Lepisosteus oculatus: one gene and its partner. The protein of the gene in region 1 purifies or fractionates together with the protein of each later gene. This does not show direct contact. Links are inferred from orthologs where the notes say so. Each region holds a gene or a part of one and is shown on either strand. Other genes may lie near its edges.

The links.
Region 2: the proteins of nop56 (region 1) and fbl purify together in Homo sapiens (affinity purification with mass spectrometry; 6 studies listed by BioGRID and IntAct, counting the BioPlex papers as one, with this or other methods). This does not show direct contact. The link is inferred for Lepisosteus oculatus from reciprocal best matches to the Homo sapiens genes NOP56 and FBL.

The regions. Positions count from the first base shown.
Region 1 is NC_090698.1:69,130,607-69,140,369, reverse strand, and holds the start of nop56 (nucleolar protein 56), read right to left. Parts: upstream 4,738-9,763; coding exon 4,710-4,737; intron 4,510-4,709; coding exon 4,462-4,509; intron 4,388-4,461; coding exon 4,173-4,387; intron 2,324-4,172; coding exon 2,234-2,323; intron 1,783-2,233; coding exon 1,668-1,782; intron 1,394-1,667; coding exon 1,226-1,393; intron 895-1,225; coding exon 696-894; intron 1-695. Other genes in the region: uncharacterized protein, read left to right, coding at 8,677-8,875, 9,261-9,427. UniProt on the Homo sapiens protein: Involved in the early to middle stages of 60S ribosomal subunit biogenesis. Required for the biogenesis of box C/D snoRNAs such U3, U8 and U14 snoRNAs. Part of the small subunit (SSU) processome, first precursor of the small eukaryotic ribosomal subunit.
Region 2 is NC_090722.1:9,614,459-9,624,997, forward strand, and holds the start of fbl (rRNA 2'-O-methyltransferase fibrillarin), read left to right. Parts: upstream 1-6,199; 5' UTR 6,200-6,356; coding exon 6,357-6,366; intron 6,367-8,531; coding exon 8,532-8,687; intron 8,688-9,361; coding exon 9,362-9,511; intron 9,512-9,902; coding exon 9,903-9,997; intron 9,998-10,413; coding exon 10,414-10,539. Other genes in the region: kcnj21 (G protein-activated inward rectifier potassium channel 4), read left to right, coding at 2,736-3,139.

The sequences.
Region 1 (9,763 bases):
CATGCGTTTCTCTACATCATGTGGTCCACAATATTAAAGTCATTACCAATTAATCTCCTTCACAGGTCTCTCAGCTGCTTCAAAAATGTATTGGTACACTTAGCATAGCAACGCCGAACAAAGCAAAAAAAAATACTACTCACGCGAGAGCCTGCAACGGGCTCCCGCAACAATCCGAGACTGACAAACGCAGCTGATCCCGGAAAGGAGCACGCCCCCACCCACCCGTGTGAAACAAGCCCTGCAGGCCTGGAGCGCGGAGGCCAGGCCTCCTCAGGAAGGAGGTGTACCCCTCCCCCCCCAGGAGAGGCCAGGAAGAGTCCTGCTCCGTGTGGGGGGGGGCGCGGGAGTCTCGCTTTTCCTCCTCTTCCTATACAGACAGCGCTGGAGGGACGCTGGCTGTGGTAAGCACTGGGAGGGCATCGGGGGGGCAGAGCTGAGACCAGCACACGAGCACACGCCCGGCCATTCCAACCCCGCCTCCCCCTGCATCTGCACGAATCGGACATCTCAACGATTTAAACCTGGACAAATGGCGTCAACCCGAGAAGCTAGAAAGAAATCGGAGCCCGTGGCCCAGTTACAGCCTAACATATTTCAACATTTCCCCCAAACAGGGTAAGGCCTCTGGGAAAATCAGAAACAACCCCTTCCTAGTCTCACTGGCTCCTCTGCCCAGGGAGGCGGACACCGACCTGACGCGCATGGCGAAGGTGTTGATGTCCTTGTCCAGCTGGTCCAGCAGGGCGATGGACTGGATGATCATGTTGTCGGCCTTGTTGACGTTGAACTTGACCTTGGCCCGCGAGTAGCTGTGGCCCAGGCCCAGCTGGGCCTTGGAGGCGGACTGGGCGGTCAGACCCTTGACCAGGGCGTGGAAGTGCAGCCGGACCCCTGGAGGCACAAGAGCCAGAAACGGCGGCCGTGGGGCCATGAGCAAGGGAGAGAGAGCAGCAAGGAGAAGGGCTGATGTGCACAGGAGGAAAGGGGTCTTATCCAGCACCGCTGACACAGCACAGCACAGCCCAGCCCGAATGTTCAGTTTTTCAGTATGAAGGCATCAGTGGGATCAGTATGATTGGAACATCACCACAAATCAGGCAGTCTACGTTCTACAGCACAGGCTACGCTGTACTGGAGCACTAGAGACCAAGCACCAAGCTTTTAAATGCTGCGTCTGCTCCTGTGAGGCTGTACGAAGATAAGACTGTCCAGGAAATCTCACCTCTGAGGATCTCGGCCACAACCCCCCCGGCCTGGCAGGACAGCCCCAGCTCCTCCTGCAGCGCTGCCCCAATCTTGGCATCCGCCACCCCCAGGACAACCTTCTTCTTCTTGCCAGCAGCCGGTAGGCTGGTCTCCAGCAGCAGCTTCAGGTCAGCGTGCACCACGCCTGCACAGGAACATGGGGGCACAGTGAGGAAACTCGCTTCTGGATAGACCAGGCAGGCACGCACACACACACAGAGGAGGCACAGTGAGGAAACGGGGGTCCCACATTAAAAAAAAAAACAGCCCATATGTTCAGCTTTGTAGTTTTGACATCACGTGGTCATCAGGGGATTGACAGATTACAGAAACATCACCACATCTGGGCACGGACTCTCCCCGCCCCTCGCCGCCTTCAAGTCTCCCTGATCACTCTCACACGGCACTCCCCGCCTCACCCTCAGAGATGGCGTTGATGTTCTCCAGTGCCGCCTGGGCCGACTTGAAAGGAGAGAAAGCCGCCAGCTTCACCACAGTGCTGAACTTCCCCAGATTCAGCACACTCTCCTCCACCTGGTGACAGAAAACACACGTGCAAACATCTCGGAATTTAAAATCGCAAGTCACACAAGCCCTGGGAACTCAGCACGCTGTACAGGGGGCTCTCAGCTGCTGGATCCTTAATTGTGAACATTAAAAGCCTGACGCCGAATACTTTAGAACACCAGGGATGCTAAAATTGACCGCAAACATTAACCTTCTACTTTAAGTGCTTTATAAATCTGAAATCCTACCCAACACCTCTGCCCCTCACACCCATGAGTCATGCAGTAAGCAGTTATGGTAAAAACCACAAGCAACATTTTCTGCACAGAACAAGGGTATGTGTCCGACCACAGGGCAGAGCTGCACTGCAGTGGTCTCTAGCCCATGGATAATGACAGTCTCAGGCTACATGTGGAGGACAAACACCCTCACCCGAGTGTCATTATGATTGGGGCGGGGTCAAAGGGCAGGGCCTCACCTGGGGCAGCAGCATGCCGATCTCCTCCACCTCCTTGACGGCGAACAGCGCGTACCCCGCCGCATGTTCGAACAGCACGTGTAGCAGCACCTGCGGAGAGAGGGCCGGGGGTGAGGCCACACGCCACGGGCCAGCAGGCAGCAGCAGCAGCACCGGTGTCCCGGCTCCGTCCGAGCTCCTGACATCTCCCTACACTCGCTGGAACAAGCAGGTCTGGCGCCCCCTTCTGACCCGCCAGCGCATCTCCCAGCTGGGCTGCGAACCTCAGTGTGAATCACCTCCCCTCTATATTCAGACGCACCCTGGAAATAACGAAGTGCAAGACCAGCCTGCTCCACATTACACCACGCAGCAGCGTGCCTTTAAAACCCCCGTCTCTGCTTTACTTCCCCGGTGAAGAGCTTGGAGATGAAAAGCACTGTAAGGGCAGCGACAGCCGCTGCCTATCTGTACAGGAGGGCGCGCAGAGGCCTAGACAAGCCGCAGGATTGAGCTGTAATTCATGGTGACAGATCTCAGGGGGAGTCCTCCAACACAAACTGTCGGTATTAACCGACACCTTGGTGTACTACAGAGTCAAGACACGATCCACATCAAAAGAGACCGGGACAGAAAGCGGAAGAACTACTGATTAACATAAGAACAAAAAACTACAAATGCGTGTTCATGCTGCGTGTTAACGGGACTCATCCCCTTCCTCGTGATATCAGAGGTACTGCAGAAAGGAAGACTATTTTGTCATTCAAGTAGGCAGCCGTGTCAGCATGCGCAGGCTGCAGAAGAACAAGGCAAAGGTTGTTCCCTTCTGAAAAGAGAAGATCGATTCACCGCGGAGCCACCAAAGAAGGCTCCACAGCCGAAACGTAACTTCTCTTTTCAGCAGCAAATAACCCTTTACTTGTTCCCATTTTGTCATTTCCCAGTAGCACCGCGGTCGCCAGAGGGCACTGCGCTTTTAGTCCAACGACAGCGAGGTTTTTCCCGTGTAAAAAAGAAAAGCGCGAACTATTTCATTCTGTAAGGCCTCTCTCTCATGGCCGCACCGCGCCGGAACCACGTGGGTCCGGCATCACGGCGTGCTCAACCCCCGCACTCAGACCCCGGGAAAGAGGCTTGAATTCTGCCTGTCAGGATCGTACACCGCCGAGAGACGCCATGAAAACACTCCTCGGTTCATTCGGTTTTTTTTGGGGGGGGGAAGAGAGGAATTGTACCAGAAACTCGCCCCTGGAGGCGCTTCAGAGGAAACCGCTCGGGTCCGCGTCGCCACGTGCGCGCCCCGCTCCCCCCCACCACGTGGCGACGGGACGGAGGCCCGCGCCAGAACCCCCCCGCAACAAGCGCCTCGTGTTGCGTACCCCAGGTCCTTCTCCAGCCCTGACGGGCCCAGGATGGTGCAGCAGCAGCCCCGCCACCGCCGCTCCCGAGCGAGAGGGCAACACGTGGGCCGGCGCCAGCTCCGAGCACGAGCCGGGCTCCAGAGCGCGCGCGGTGCAGGGGTTTTAACTGCGGCTCTTTCCCAGCACTGTGACTTCCCCGGCCCGTGCCCCGCGTCAGATATCGTTTTCTGTTCCTGGGGCCTAGCTGCAGCCCCGAGCAGCTGTGAGCTAGCATGCAACTAACCGAAGATCTGCAGAAATCTGATAAAAAATATTGATTTTTTCATCCATATGTAACTTCCCACAGATACAGCTATTTCATACTACTTATTACACCGCTACCGAGTACTGCTTTGCAACAGCAACACCCTGACTGGGGCCACTGTTCCAGACTGCGTGTGACCCGCATCTCCGCCGGCTACGTCTAAAGAGCCAGAAAACGTATTTTCCGTCAGTTCCTTCGCACAAGCAATACCTCCACTGTATTGCCTCACTGAAAAGCACCTGCTGACTCGGTCTGCGCAGTGAAGTTATTTTCTTCCCCACACGTGCAGTCTTACCATTGCTGTTCCCTCGGCGCAGCTCCGTCCTCTCGTGCTGCCTGTTCTCCTTCCCAAGGTGCTCTGCGCGCCGCCCCACCTCGCTTTCGTGCCCGAGCCCGCCCCCTGGCTCTTCGAAGTATCGCGAGAACAAGAGCTGGGGGAGGGGAGGGTGGAGAGATGGGTTTCCATGGCGCCATCTGCTGTACGTTTACCGTCACATCCTTTCGCCCTGACTGAAGAGCGAGATTTTGGACAGATCCTATGCTAAAAAATTGAATATATGCAACACTAAAAAAAAACCACGCACCTGGTTGAAATTCCACCAGGACGCCGGTCTCTTTCTGCAGTCTTAATTCTGAAAGACAACTGAAAGTCACACACACAGCAAAGCATACAGATGCACAAAACGTATTTCCCTGCAGCTCCAATTCGTGTGTTGATTGGTGTGTTTGTAGACTGCCTACTGCCTATAATAATAATAATAATAATAATAATAATAATAATAATAATAAATAAAGTAATTGCTAGCTCTCAGCACAGGGGCTCAATGCCCACCCTGGGGTGCTGTCTGTCTGGGGTTCATATGTTCTCCTCGTGTTCATGTGGGGCTTCCTCCAGGTGCTCTGGTTTCCTTCCACTGTCCAAAGCCATGCTGGCAGGTGACTGGACGTCCAGGACACTTGTCCGCGGTGTGTGTGGGCGTGAGCCTGGACTCGTGGCTGACGGCGTGCGGGAGTGAGTCCCCGCTGCAGACACAGCTGTCACCCCTCGCGTGACAAACTCTGCCCCCATTACCCCCTGCCTGGGAGCAGGAGCTGTGACGCACTGGCGTTTATCCAGGGGAGGGCGAGCCGTGTGCTGTCTGATCACTTCACGCCTGGGAAACAGGATAAGATCTGATCTGATGAGCCTCTGTGTGGCTTGATTGTTCCTCGCAATCCCACGGCTTTCTAGACGAATGCAATCACTGCATGTTCTGTTTCATTGGGTAAACACCTGGCCCGCTGGCTGGGGGCACCCACCCCTGTCCTCACAGGCCACTGTCCCGCAGGTTAGAGAGACCCTCAAACCCAACTTCTTAAGGACAAAGAGAGGCTCCAGCACCTCTAATTAAGCAATTAATGAGTTCAATTTGGTCATTTTTATTTATTTATTTTATTTTATATTTATTTTTTATTACTGTACGTATTCTAATTTTTTGTCTATCCTGATGTCTGTTCGTTTTGCTTGTTTTGGGCTGCTGTAACACATCAATTTCCCTTCGGGATCAATAAAGTCTTATCTGTCTCTTAAGATGTCAAGGGGCAGGAAAACAAGAACTCTTCCGGCCCTGAAGTACTGCAGCTATGCAGCCCTGCCTACACCTGAAGAAGGCTCCACGGCTGAAACGTTGGGCTTTTCTTTCTTTTCTTTTCAGCGGGGAATAAACCTTTACTTGTTCCTTTGCAGCCTATACCCGCTGACGCAGGGAGCCACCTGAACTACTTCAACCTAAACCTGCTGCGACCCACTATGCCCTCCTCCAAATCTTTTTCTAGATCTCTTCGTCATTCCTTCTCTTCCTCCCTGGGCCTGGCCCTGGGCCCTCTCTTACTAAACCAGCTTGCTCACACCCGAAGAAGGCTCCACGGCCGAAACGTTGTGTTTTCTTTCTTCTCTGTTCGGCAGGGAAAAAACGTTTACTCGTTCATTAAGAGTCTGCTCTGAACAGCTCCCACCAGGTGATAGATTTAAGCATGAACAGACACGGGCGGTCATTTCTCTTCTGGGGAGGTCCACTCGGTTACTTTTCAGGCGGCAGACGTGAATCAGGGAAGTTGTGAAATTTGCACAGGTTGATACCGGGTATTTGAATGGGAGTAAAATTGTGCACAGGGTTAAGAACATTGGGACATAAAACAGATTACAAATGAGAGGAGCTGTTCACCATTCACTTGGTGGTAGGTAATTGACCCAAGGGTCTCAGTCAGTTGTTTCCAGAAAGAAGCAAGGCGTCCGCTTCAACCACATGGCTGGGTAGCTTGGTCCACACTCCCACAATCCCCTGCTGACTGAGCTAGCTAAATAGCATTTCGTTATACCATACACCTGTGTATGAGCAGAATGAAAATAAACTTTAAATTGATGCTAGGTGTAATACCATTAATCTCTTTCAAGATTTGAGAGCAAATGTATAAAACTGTCCCAGTTAGAGAATTTATATCACAACAGGAAAGACACCTGTGCACAGAGCAGCAGCAGCTCAGCTGTTTACAGTGTCTGTCTGTTAGGAGCACCAGTGAACAGCTGCAGTATTACAGCACTACATGTTTACTCGCACAGGGCTGTAAGCACTGATTCATGAACTCATATCTTTCGGTGTAAGTTTAAAACATTCCATCCTGTCCCCTATCTGGTAACATCACTCTACCTTCTTGTCTTAAAAGTGCATTATACTTTGCTCAAAGAACAAATATATTCAGTTTTTTGGAACTATAGTCAACAGTCCAACAAGCATTACTGCCCTCTAACCCAGGGGCCTCAGACTCAGTTCCTGATGAATGTAGTGTCTTCCGGATTTTGTTCCCCTCACGGTCTCAGTTACGAAGCTGGTCTAAATACCTAATTAGCCGGATAATTGCTAAGAATTCTGACGAGGCTGGGGTGAATTTCAGGCGACTGCCATTTGAACGAAGTGGAAAGTTTTGTGAATGACGTTCAGAAAAACCATTGTCCAGTATATGTCATTCAGAAAAGAATGAGTTTACTCTCATTTGACTGCTCATAATGGAACCATACCTCACCCTAACCCTGCAGAAGACCCCGCTTTGAGATCTGTAATCGAAAAGCACTTTGACCCAAGACACTTCAAACAACAGCAGCCAGTCCCTGGAATAATGTGTACAGAGCGAACAGAAACTATCCCCTTGGTAACGGAGGGTGTTTCCGGTTGTGTGATTAAATCCGTCCTGCTCGACTCCTACACTTCTCACTGTTGTTGCGACTTTTCTTCTCTCTTTTGCCTTCGGTGTTAAACATTGGCCAGCTCGTCAGCCCCCAGAGTTCCCCTCTGATTTCATGTGGATCAATAAAAGCTTATTAGAGTGGTCACTACAAAATGAATCCTTACAGCTGCGATAGAGCAGAGAGCAAGTTACCAGTCAGACACACACGGGTATTTATATGGTCTGCTGTTTGCGCTGTTCCAAAGTCAAATAAATTAATGTTCAGTTTGGGGGAAAACGCGCAAGAAAGCTGGAAAAGAACAGAAAATGCCGTTCCACGCTCCTGGAAACTGCATTGTGGTCACCACTGGCAAATCATCGAGTTTGAATTTCAACGTGTAGCAAGCAGGGGGTATTGAAATAAATACACAGAACAAACACACAAAAAAAAAACGACGCGGCGGTACTGCAATGAGTTCAGATCAAAAAGGTGCGGTTGCTTTCTCGCTTTTCTCCCGTTTAGTGTGCATCTTTTCCTGGAGGATATGTGGGATGCGGAACAGTCTTGCTGGATCAGAGGAGGAGCGCGGACTGACTTCTCTACGGGACGTGACTTTTTACATAGTTTCGCCATCGCTGTCATCGCCCGTGTTTTCTCAAACCCCTCTTCCGGAGCTCCCGTCAGCATATAGCGGCACGGTTAAAATGTCATAAACCTGGACAGCTTATACAGGTTTAAGAAGGCGTGCCCGGAAGAGCTTTGTGTTCACCGGTTGGGTCGGCGAGGAGGTGAGACGCGATCACTTACGTTTGGAGACTCTCCAGAGACAAGATCCCCCTGTAAAGGTGTGTAATCAAGGTCTTGTCTCGCCCCTCATGTTCTCTGTGTTTTAAAACGGACCTGTGACGTGAAACAAAATAAATCAGACGCGATACAAATGTAAGTTTTATTACAGGAGGCGTTCTGTTGAATTCCTAATTAATACAGGGGTTAACATGTATTGCTGGGTTAGAGATTTAGACTGCTTCCCTCGACACTCTGCGACATTATATCAGATGTAATAACTGGTTTGAGGAACATTAGGGACCACCTATACCTCCTACCTGGATACGGACTAGTTACCAGGCTCATGTGTGCTTTTCCTGGGCTTACTGTACGTGGGGTGTGGTAAGAAACCGCAGAAATCTCTCCTCCGTGAACACGAAACAAATCTTTATTTTTAAACGCAGTCAGCAGCGACATAAATGGCAGGACAGGGGGTGGCAAAGCGTACAGTTCAACGAAGTTCAAAGCGTACAACTGGAGATGCCCCTCAGACACGTAGGCGTGGGTAGTCCAGGGTTCAGTTTGACTGAAGCACGGTACAGAGCGCTTCAACAGCTGATGGAGAGAGGAAGGTGTTTTCTAAATCAAAGAGCTGTCAATTAACTCATGCCAAGGAAGCCTTCATCTAGTATTTAGAGTGGCCCCACACGCCCCTCCATCATAGAGGTGAGACAGACGAACCCCGGACCGCGAGTGTTAAGGGGGCGAGGGGGGTCTGCTCCCGGTAATTGACAGTCAGTCTGTGTGACACAGCGCCGCCTGCTGGCCGGAGATGCCACTGTTCCGTGGGCCTCAGTGGCAGAGGGAGAAGGCCGAGAAAGGCCGGAGCAGAGGGCAGGTGCGCACCCTGGTCAGGCTGTGCCTCGTCAGCCTGGCGGACAACATGAGGGAGCTGTGGGCCCGGGACTACGCCGAGAACTACATGGACAGCTACAGCTTCCGCTACGTCATGGGCCCCTTCAGCCTGCTGCGTGAGCGCCCCCTGCCTGTCCGACAGCCTGCGGCCAGCTTCTCCTGCCTGCCCTGTCTTTCCCCGATCACGCTGTCGGCTCTGTATCTGGCATTGTGGGAGGGGGTGACTGTCCGGCTCTGGGTCTCTGCCTGTCCACCTCTGGCCCTGTTTCTCTCACGCGGTCTGACTGCGCGGCAGCGTTCCTGTCCTCTCCTGCTTCTCTCTGCCCTCTTCCTCACTCTCCCTGCGTCCTGCTGCTCGGCTCGGTCTCTCTCGTTGCAAACTTGTGTTCCCGTAATGTCTCGCCGAACTCCCCCTCCCTCTCCCGCGACGTCTCGCTGCCTCATTCGCGCATGCGTGACGCATTGACACCCCTCTCTCACTCCCGACCTGTGTGTTTTCAGCGGGGGAGCTGGTGGAGGAGCTCCTGGCGGTGGTGTGCGCCTCTCGCCGAGCGTCCCGAGCCGCGCTCCACCTCCTCCTGGTGCCGCAGCTGCGGCGGCTCTGCCTGCGGCCCTGCAGCGGCCTGGTGACTGCCCCCTTGTGCCAGCTCATTGCACTGCGCTGCCAGGTCAGTCTCACCCCCCACGCACTGCGATACCAGAGGCTCGGTGATCCGGGCGGAAAGATTCTGCTGGCAGACGTTAGTGAACCAGCAGGAGGTACTTTTTCCCTTCCTGTGCAGAAATTCCCAAGCTGAGTTCCCAGCGGAGTTCAGGTGCTTTTCACTGTGGGAGCGTCTGCTGCTGGATGAGGAATGAAACTGAGATTTTGTCCACAGCTGGGGACTGACATCTCTCTGTACCTGCCGCAACAGTGTGTTTAGCCCAAGATTGTGGTGGTAGGAAAAACAAAACAGGATATAAGGTGGTCGCTTACGGCCACACGTCTCGTCTCGTCTGATCTC
Region 2 (10,539 bases), on another chromosome or scaffold:
AGACGGGTCTGAGGAGAGCCACGCGGGACCCGTGCGGAGATCGTGACCGCTTACCAGAACAGCGCGGCGGCTGCTGTCGTCTCTGAAGCACCGGGGTCTTTCCAGAACTAGGCTGCGTGAGATCCTGAGGTCGGCTCGCTCCTCGCCTGCGAGCAGGCTGAACTGGGTGGAATAATCTCCTCTCGCCCGTGACCGCTCTCTTGAAAACATGACGTCGGACCGCAGTAGTAGACGATACAGTAGGTTGCACACGGGCCACGCAGAGCAGCTCAGAAGTCCGTAAATATTAAAAACAGCAGGAGAAAGAGTACAGTACGTGTAGTAACTACAGTACTACACGTACTGAATTGTAGTACAGTACGTGTAGTTACTACAGTACTACACATACTGAATTGTAGTACAGTATGTGTAGTTACTACAGTACTATCCGTACTGAGTTGTAGTACAGTGCGTGTAGTTACCATACAGTCTGCATGGGGTGTTTCAGAGGACCAAGGTTCAGATTCCAGTGTTACGCCTTTGCATTAGCTGAGAAACTCTCCGATTCTTTCAAAAACTCGGGCCGAATTCTTTTAAAAAAAAATCCCAATTCCTAATCATATTCAACCACGCCTTGTTTTCTAACCTTCGGGTCTCATTAAGTCTCAGGGATGTTCGCAAACAGAAATACTTAGTGAATGACAAGTCCCGACGATCCCCTGTTAAGATGGGGACAAACATCTTGAGCAGGGAGAAATCCCCCGGACTGTGGGCCCGGAAGGCACAATGTGCTCTGGAAATATCTGCTCTACGGGCTCTGAGCTGGGCTTATGAAGCGGGATGCTCTAACAAGGGAAGATAAATAATTAAATTGCCAGCAGGCATGAGTGCTATCCAACCCCTAATCCCTGTGCGGCATGTTTCTAATACCAGAAAACTGGTAGTATTGATCTGATGCGTTAGCCAGACAACTCCAGGGACATGAGTGGATAATAGATCTGGCTGATCGGACAGATCGGACACCTGATCGGCAGCCCATCGGTTCGGCTGCTCATTACGAACCCACGCAGCTGCTTCTAATTAGAGCCCCGCGCACCCCCTCCCAGTGGGTCGTCCTTACGGGGTCCTTACAGTGACCGATGCTGCAGTGATAGAAACTGTCGCACGTCTTAAAGGGGCATCTTAACAATCAGTCATGGAAAGGTACCGCATGAAGCCTCCTGTTCGGTGGATTCTTGGAGTGCTCCTTCTCGGCTGATGTTGTTTTTGGGCTCCAAGGCCGACTCAAACCATCTCTGACTTGTGCCGCCTGTCGATTGAACCTCTTGCTCCTTTGCTCTATGGAGTGGTGGTCTCGGAAGTTTCAGGGTGCAGGTGGGCAACTGGCAGTGGGCTGGAGCGGCTGACATCATCCTGAGCAGTCAGTGTCTCCAGGCAGAAACCGCTTGAAGTGAGAGGTGGGGGACACATATTACAGTCGCACAGCATTCTGAAGCCCGCAGGTGTCACTGGCTTCCTTCCTCCCTTCCTTCCACTTGACCCTTGAATAATCCTTTCAAAGTGGCCCAAGCAGAGACACAGAAATTAAACGACCCAACGTAACACTGGATTTCAAACATTACTGCTAAGAAACTGAAATTTCGGTCCATTTAAATATGCTAATTCCATATCGTGTTCAACGGTCTTACTTTTCTCTTTGCTTTGGTTAATATCTCGTGGAAATGATTTACAGAAACACGGAGGCGAAAAGAAACACTCCTCGTGTGATCCATGAATAGAAATCAGGTTCACAACAAACAGCCAAATGCCCTTTCCTGTCAGCGCAGGGGGGGAGACCTCACTGCACGAGGGAGCTGTTGGGAGGTGTTCTGCGCTCTGACAGCAGGTCTGCCTCGAGGGTCAGATCATCTTCACAGCGCTTAAAGCTCCTGAGAAATTGCATTCCTGTTAATTTGGAATCAAAGTAATTGCATGCCAACGCCTGTCATCCCCAGTACTCCCATCACCCATACAGACAGAGCAGCTACAAGCTGTGTTCTCAGCGTTAATCAAGGATTACGAGACACGCATTCACAGCCACTGTGTACTAAAACCGCATTTCTGTCATGGCCTGCTCACTGCTGTATGTATGGAGGCCTCTGTATGGTTTGTGAAAGGAGAACTGGAACCCTGTGTCTTTGATTAATTCAATAGAACACTTTAACTAAGCCGTGAAACACGGAATGTTTAAGCAAAACGTTTCCATTCTCCTTAATTGAAAGTTAGCTGATTGAAAAGATTATCAAAACTCGACCACCCAACATAAAACTAAAACTCAACCCTTTCTGCTAAGAACTGTCATGTAGGTCCATTTAAATATGCTAATTCCATATAACACTCAACGGTATTACATGGAGTCTGGTAGCACTTAAGAATACAATCAGGTTAGAAGCAAGAGGCAGGCCACTGGACTCGGCATGTTAATTTGGCTGCCAGTCGCTAATCTGATACTTCCCGGTACCTCGGTTTTGAAGAGACATCAGTGGTTTGTCAGAGTAAATGATTAAACTGAGCGCTTTGTCCTCAGAATGTCTTGACGCTCAGGAAACATCTCAAACCAAGCCGATGTCACATGCCCTCCTCTTGCTGCTCGGACGGATTGAACAGTGGTCTGGTGCATTTGCAGCAGGGTAGAACTATTGGGTGCTGACCCTTGACCTTTGACCACCCACCCACCCACCTCTGACCTTTGACCTCTTGCTCGTTTTTGCCGGCAGGGATGACGTGCCAGGCGCGCAGCTCCTACCTGGACTCGGAGGTCATGTGGGGTCAGCGCTTCATGCCGGTGCTGACCCTTGAGGAGGGCTTCTACGAGGTGGACTATGACACCTTCCACAACACCTACGACACCCCCACCCCCTCCTGCTCGGCCAAGGAGCTGGCAGAGCTGGCCAAGAAGGGGGAGGCCATCCCCCTGCCCCCGGCCGACCCCCCCAAGCTGGCCACTGGGCCGGGCAGGGACACGGAGCTGCCGGAGGGACCGGGGACGAGGGCCGGGGAAGAGGAAGAGGGAGGCGGAGGAGAGGAGGAGGAGGTGTTCAGGAGGGACTCGGAGGAGGGGAGAGGGGAGGCGCAAAATGTCACCAACGGGGATGTCAACAAAATGGAGAATGGAGAGTAACCCCCCCCCCCCCCCCCGCCCCCTCCCCCAGCAAAAAATAAAATAAGCCCCCATATGCCCCTTTCCGTAAAGCAGAACCACACTGCAGGTACTATAGCAGCTGCAGAACTTGCTTCTGAGACGACTGTGTCCTTCTTTTATTTCTCCTTTGCCTTAAGGTTTGAGCGTGACGCACGTTCACCCTTTCGCAAAATCCATTCCTGTCCGTGTCCGCGCCCAGCTCCCGGAAGTCCGTCGGATGGCATGTCCTCCTCTGCAAAGGGGATCTGTATCAAAATCTCAAAAAAGCTCAATAGATTTGGCGTCTACATCTTTGTGCAATTTTTTTTCATGTTCTCAGTGCTTTTTTGTTCGCGGGTCATTTATCAAGTCAAAAGCATGCGTATCTCAGGCCTTCAGCCAAAGGGTTTGCAGCCAGAGCCAGGTGACATCACTTTGTGTCTGGTCTCCTGCCCCACTGACTCCAGCAGATGGCTGGCGTTTCTGTTACAGATGCCCTTTCGCCTGCAGGCTCCCGCAGGACGCCGAGCTCTGGGCGGACCACGGTCAGTAATGTCTCAGCCAATCGCGTGCCTCCACATGGGGAATCTTGATCCTGATTGGTCAGCACTTCAGCCAATCCTATCACCAGTACTTGTCAGACTCCTGTGGGTTCTCAGTGACATCAGCAAGCAAAGTGCTCCAATCAGTACTGGCTCTCCCGTAAGGCACTATGGAGCTTGTGATGTGTCCAAAGACAATAGAAAAATATTTGGCAATTCCAAATTGAATACTTGAATCACAAAGGAACAGCCGGTTCACTTCTGATAGCAGCTTTTTTAGCAGGAATAAACGTATGTTGAAAGCACATCTGTTCAATCCTTATGCATATAACTGGTCCAATTAAGTCACAAGAGAGCTCAGATGGACCGCTAACCAGAAGACCTGCTGGGAAACATCTGTCAAGGGATTCAGCTGAACGGTGAGTGGAAACAGAATTTGGAAGCCAACACAGACGTGTGTGCTTTATCATAAAGGAGAGAGCCTCCTGAAAATTGCTGTCTTTCACTGTGCCTCCACCAGAGACTTCAGAAAAGAGATTAAGTCCTCCCACATCTGCAAAGTGTCAATGAATGAAAAACTAGGCTGGCTGCTTATAGTTATGGTTAATGATTCAGTCACAAGACTATGTGATGAAGGGATTGTGACAGAAACAAGTGCATCAACTATTCCGTGCTGGATCGCTAGATATTTTTTTTCTTTCTGACACAATCTCTATACAATAGCATCTTACCCCAGCTAAAAGTGCCACCTTGTTTATTGGTCATTTGTTCCTGTTAAGCTCTGCCAATACAACTCCATGGTACTAAGTGCCACTGACCACTTACACAGATCATCGCCCCTTTTCTCCGAAGACGCTATCAACACATCTACTGGGTGAGCTGAAACAGCAGCTGTAATATATAAGGTTTTAAGGGGGCTGCTGGTTCAAGACCTCCACGCTGGGCTGTGTGCCCCTGATGCACTGACGCAGTAACCGATCCCTCTAGCGCCTCAGTGTTTTGGATGAAAGCTGAAAGCGACGAGCCCGCCTTGGTCAGCCCCTTGTCCTCTGCCGGTCACTCCGGCTGAAATCATCGTTAACCGGTTGACTTTCAGGGTGCACTCCTGGCTCTGCAATCGGCCATGCCGCGCCCTGAGCAGGAAAGCCGCTGTGCGGGGACTGAGCGCGGAAGAGCCTGTTCCTGGAATCCGCCCTCCGGTGACCAACGATCCGGCCTTCGTCTGCGATCGTCTGAACCCCGGAGACGGGCCTGGACTGCAGGATCGAGCGGGCCTGTTTTAGGAGGCCCTGAGAAGGATGGTTTCATGTTAAGCAGACGGTGCAGCTTCGTGTTTGTACTGGACAGGGCTAAATATCTGTCACCTCTTTAGCAGAATCTACTCTTTGTGCCACTAAACCTACAGTAATCTCAATCCATGATGGGGCTTCAGCAAACAAAACTTATTTCTGCTGTGCCATATTACATTGTCATAAAGCAGTGTCTTTTCTAACAGATTCATGGAGCATATTATTATTATTATTATTATTATTATTATTATTATTGTAGTGCTGTGTTTTAAGTGTTATCCAACAAAGCTCAAGCACAATTCTATTAATCAGGTCTGTAAATAAAAGTATTATTGCTGAAAATGGGTTCCTCCGTGCTGCGATCACCTTGTTCTGGCTGCCTTGATGAAGCTCGGTGTCCCTCACTGCCCTCGTTCGTATCACTGCTTTAATGTGTTTAATGTTCTTCGAGAGAACTTTGAAATATCAGTCTAGTCGAACTGTAAAAATAAACAGTTCTGAGCCACCCTCCCCCCCCGTCCACTAGAGGGCGACCCAACTGCATTTCAAAACACCTAAAACATCATAGGAGAATACTTTTATAATCACATCGCCATCATAAAGAAACTGATAACGATACACAAGAAGTAACCATTTCGAAACTGTAAAAAAGGAGTATAGCATTTAACAATTCATAAACCTATCCCACTGAACAAGATCCTGTTCAGTTAACACTTAGGACTCACTGAGCTTGCGCAGATCTTTGAGGCGGCACAGTAATTTAACAGCACAAAGTCTCATTTGAAATCCATGGTGGAGCTTTTTTAAAAGGTAAAGCGTACTAGGCTTACGTGTAAGCTTCAACTAGAGTAAGACTGAATAAGTTCCGGCCACAATAAGATGTTTTAAGTGCACGGAACAAAAAAAGTTGAAGATGGTTTCAATGGGTTTCAAGTACAGGTTTCGAAGACAAAAAATTCCGAAAAATAACAAGTAATAGGTTTATTCCATGCTGAAAAAAAGAAGAAAGAGAACACAACGTTTCGGCCGTGGAGCCTTCTTCAGGTGTCGTATTTCCAGTTGTATTTCCAAATATACCAAAATACCAAAAGCTGTATTTCCAGTTCCCGAAACACAGCTTTGTGGGGGACCCGAGGTGGAGAGCGGCCTGCAGTGTGTGTCCTCCGAGGTAGGGGGCGCTGTGGGCGACGCCGGCGAGAGGAAGCGCTCGGACGCGCGGGCTTGGAACTTCCGCCGCCGGCCCATGTGGTGCGGACGCAGCACGTGTGAGCAGGAGAGAGAGAGACAGCGAGCGCCCGAGTGCGGAGGACGGAGAGCGGAGCGGCGACACAACTCATCCGATTTCTGCGCCCAGGTCGTTGCAGCGATACATCCCGAGACGCGAACATGAAGCCAGGTAAGCAGATCCGCGATCCTCTGACGCGTTAAAAGGGGGAAAAAAAAAACGACCCGGGAGGTAAAAACACGGAGCTCCGCCGCTCCTGTCCTCCGAGTCTCACCGGGGCCGGAGACAAATCACCCTCCGAAAACAAAACGTGATAATAAAAGGCAAAAATGCCTTCAAGCGCCGTAAAGACCACCCGCTCCGAGTTTGGTGTCTGCCTTGTTCGGAGGCTCCTATTTTCTTAAGTCGCATTTCGAAGTTAAAGCCAGCTGGTTCGTGCAGAAGAGGAGAGTTTCTCGGTGGCGGACGGGGGGTCGTGGCCTGCGCACGCCGGAGGTTTAGGATCTGTTTTAGGCTCATTTTAGTAACTTCCAGACGATTACTTGACGCGGCGTGCACGATTTAGACGGAATTTCAACAGTTCCCCGCTGTTCCTGTTGCCGTGAGCAGCTGGGACGCTAGTTAATGTGTTTGTATTGGGCGCAGCGTGCTGGACTAGTTCGTCGCTCAGTTTGGATCCAGCGTTAACTGATGTTTTGGCTTGGATTGCTGTCGGCCCTGTAGCTCTCTCCTGCTCGTGATTTGAGTTCTGGCGTGAATTTCGGAAGGAAGCGGGTGTCTTTTGGCGTTAAGCGAAGCCAAATGCCAAAAAAACAACAACAACAACAACACAACGATTGCGATGGCCGTTTTCGTGCGAGGGGATCGTTTTCAGTGCCGCGGCCATGTGCTTGGTGTGGGGAGACGTGGGGTCCTTGTGAGAGCGCACAGACCGATTCCTTGCATGCTCGAACTTTTAGAAAAACGTCCGATTTAAACGTGCGCTTCCTAGCGATGTTCCAAAGTCTGTAAAACGAAAAGCGTCTTCTAGCGCTAATTGTGATCGATTACGGATCGGAGAGGATCTCCCGGGCTCGGGTCAGTGTCTCGCAGTTGAAAAGTAAGTAAGGGAAGTAAGAGGAGCCCCTTTAGTCCGTCAGCTTAACAGCTAATTGAACCCAGGACCTTCTTCAGCTGCTTTTAATCGGCTTCAGCGACGTGGCTCGGCGGCTTGTTCCACACCCCTACCTCCCTCCGTGTAAAGAAAAGCGTCCGGTTCTCGCTTTTTAAATGCCCTTTCATGTCGGGTTCATTGGCCCCACGTGGTACATGTTTCGCAGCTGCTGACGGTGATGTTGACACTGGCGTGTCTGTCGAGGGCGAGGCGCACGTGTGCCGGTTTAGTCGGGGTGTTTTACCGCTTCGGTCGGGGTGCCGCACCCGCACAGGACAGCAGCTGCACTGTCTCTACCTGGGACTCGGACCCGCAGCCTGTGCGAGTCAGCCGATGAGTCCGGTGGCCTGGCCGCTGCCCGTTTTAAACTATTGGAACTCGCGCTTTGCAGACCGTTACAGTGTCCAGTCAAGGAGCGTGTCGGCGGTCTGGTCCTGTGTCTAGAAGACAAGTTAGTGAGACAGGAGAAGCTGCCGTCCTGCAGTGTGGTTTGTGGGGGGGTGGGGGAGGACTTGTGCAGCTGCACACTTTGGTGTTGCAGTGCTTCCCTACATCGCTCCCAGGGGTGTCCAGCCCTGGTCCCGGGCAGCTGGAGTGTCTGAGGGTGTTCTTCCCCACTGAGCTCTTGAGGAGCTGAGCCGGCTGAGTGCTGATTTAACTGGGCCAATTGCACAGCCTCTCCTGGCTCTCCAGTCGATACTGCCTTTAAGAGACCTGGAGGGCCAGTCAGTGTGTCTGCAGGCCCTCTAGGAGCAGGACTGGACAGCCCTGCGGACGCACTGACCGGCTCCTCCAGGAGCAGGACTGGACAGCCCTGCGGACGCACTGACCGGCTCTCCGGGAGCAGGACTGGACAGCCCTGCAGACACACTGACCGGCTCTCCAGGAGCAGGACTGGACAGCCCTGCAGACACACTGACCGGCTCTCCAGGAGCAGGACTGGACAGCCCTGCAGACACACTGACCGGCTCTCCAGGAGCAGGACTGGACAGCCCTGCAGACACACTGACCGGCTCTCCAGGAGCAGGACTGGACAGCCCTGCGGACGCACTGACCGGCCCTGCACACGCACTGACTGGACAGCCCTGCGGACGCACTTGGACAGGCCCTGCGCTGTGTGGTTCTCTCGGGCGGCTCTACGATGGGGCGAGTAACCCCCTCTCCTGTGGTTCTCTCCCGGCAGGCTTCAGTCCGAGAGGCGGGAGGGGAGGATTCGGAGACCGAGGAGGAGGAGGAGGATTCGGAGACCGAGGAGGAGGAGGATTCGGAGGCCGCGGACGAGGCGGGTTCGGGGACCGAGGCGGTGGCAGGGGGCGTGGCGGCTTCAGAGGCGGCCGAGGTAAGTGTCTCTGACCCGGGGGGGGTGGGCACACCGCTCGAGTGTCCAGTTAGCGGGGGGCTCGTCCCCTCCAGGATCACAAGGACGGGGACCTCAGGGCGATGAAGAGGCCACTGGGGGGGTGAGATAGTTGGTGCTGCAGTAACATCCCTCCCTGACGCGCCCCAGCGGCTGCCCCGGGACGTTTTGAAAGAGCCCTGCTACACGGGCCTCTGACGGGAATAGTGTGGTTTAGGCAGGACGTTTCTCTGGGACCCCCAGAAAGGCCTTTCGGTTGGTTGTCAGTTTGTCGTTTCCGTGTCCCAGCATCCTCGGCAACAGTGGTTCTCGAACCGAGCGTCTCCTGGTCTGTTGTTCCCACCGAGCCCTTCGTTAAGCTGATTGATTCAGAGAGCGGCCCAGACCGAGCCGGAGGGCGGTCGAGCTCTGTCTGGTCAACCAGGGGCCGGCGTTGGTGAAGGACACACCGGGCAGGAAGGTCGTGGGGGGCAGGAGAAGAGGTTCAAGCAGGGAAGCGGGAAAGGAAAAAAATTCAAGGGGCTGTCGGGTGGGAGGAGGAGCCGGACGCCGGGCTCCGGGAATTGGGGCGTGCCGGGCTCCTCCGGGGCGGGTGCGGTGTTCTGGGGGTTCGGCCCCAGCGCCGCCGGAGGTCTCACTGGGTTTTCTCTCGGCAGGTGGGGGGTTCAGGTCTCCCGGCGGCGAGGGGGGATTCCGGGGGGGCCGCGGGGGCACCCCTCGGGGCCGAGGAGGAAGAGGGGGCCGCGGCGGCGGCGGCGGCTTCCGGGGCGGCAAGAAGGTGACGGTGGAGCCCCACAGACACGAAGGTAGGGTCTCCCCGAACCGGTGGCACCGCTCACTGCGAAATAACAGCAGCTGAATTTCAGGCTGGGCAGCATGGTGGACAGCAGTTAGCACTGCCAGTGAACAGACCAGCTCTAGTGATCTGAAGTACGTCTGCCAGCGATCGCAGTGTCTTTGAGGTATACGATTAAAATACAGTAAGTTCTGCGGCCTGCTGACTTCTCAACGAACCGCCCAGTGCTTTTTAGCAGCCCCGGTCAGGTCGTGCACGGATGAATACGTCATGTAGAAGATGGACTTGTATGTGCACGCAGCGCCGGGCCCTGGGTTCAGTCCTGGGGTGCCGTCTGCATGGAGTTTCCTCCCGCAGTCTGAAGGCGTATTGATGGGTTCGTTGGCTCCTGTGCCCCTCAGGCGTGTTCATCTGCCGCGGGAAGGAGGACGCCCTGGTGACGAAGAACATGGTGGTGGGGGAGTCCGTCTACGGGGAGAAGAGGATCAATGTGGAGGTGGGTCGCCCGGGCACTGTCCTCCCCGGCCCCGCCCCCGTCTGTGGTTGCCTGGGCTCTGTCCTCCCTGGCCCCGCCCCCGTCTGTGGTCGCCCGGGCGCTGTCCTCCCTGGCCCCGCCCCCGTCTGTGGTCGCCCGGGCGCTGTCCGCCCAGGCCCTGCCCCCGTCTGTGGTCGCCCGGGTGCTGTCCACCCCCGGCCCCGCCCCCGTCTGTGGTTGCCCGGGCGCTGTCCACCCTGGCCCCGCCCCCGTCTGTGGTCTCCCAGGTGCTGTCCAGAGTTGCGCCCTCGGGTGTTGTTGATGAAGACGGGTCTGCAGCAGGAGCCCGGGGTGGTGACTGGGCAGCCCTGCTCTGGGCCCTGGGCTGGTGGGACTGGCGGCTGGATCCTCACGGCCCGTTGGGGTTCTCTTCGCAGGAGGGCGAGACGAAGATCGAGTACAGGGCATGGAACCCCTTCCGCTCGAAGCTGGCGGCCGCCATCCTGGGAGGCGTGGACCAGATTCACATCCGACCCGGGGCCAAAGTCATGTACCTGGGCGCG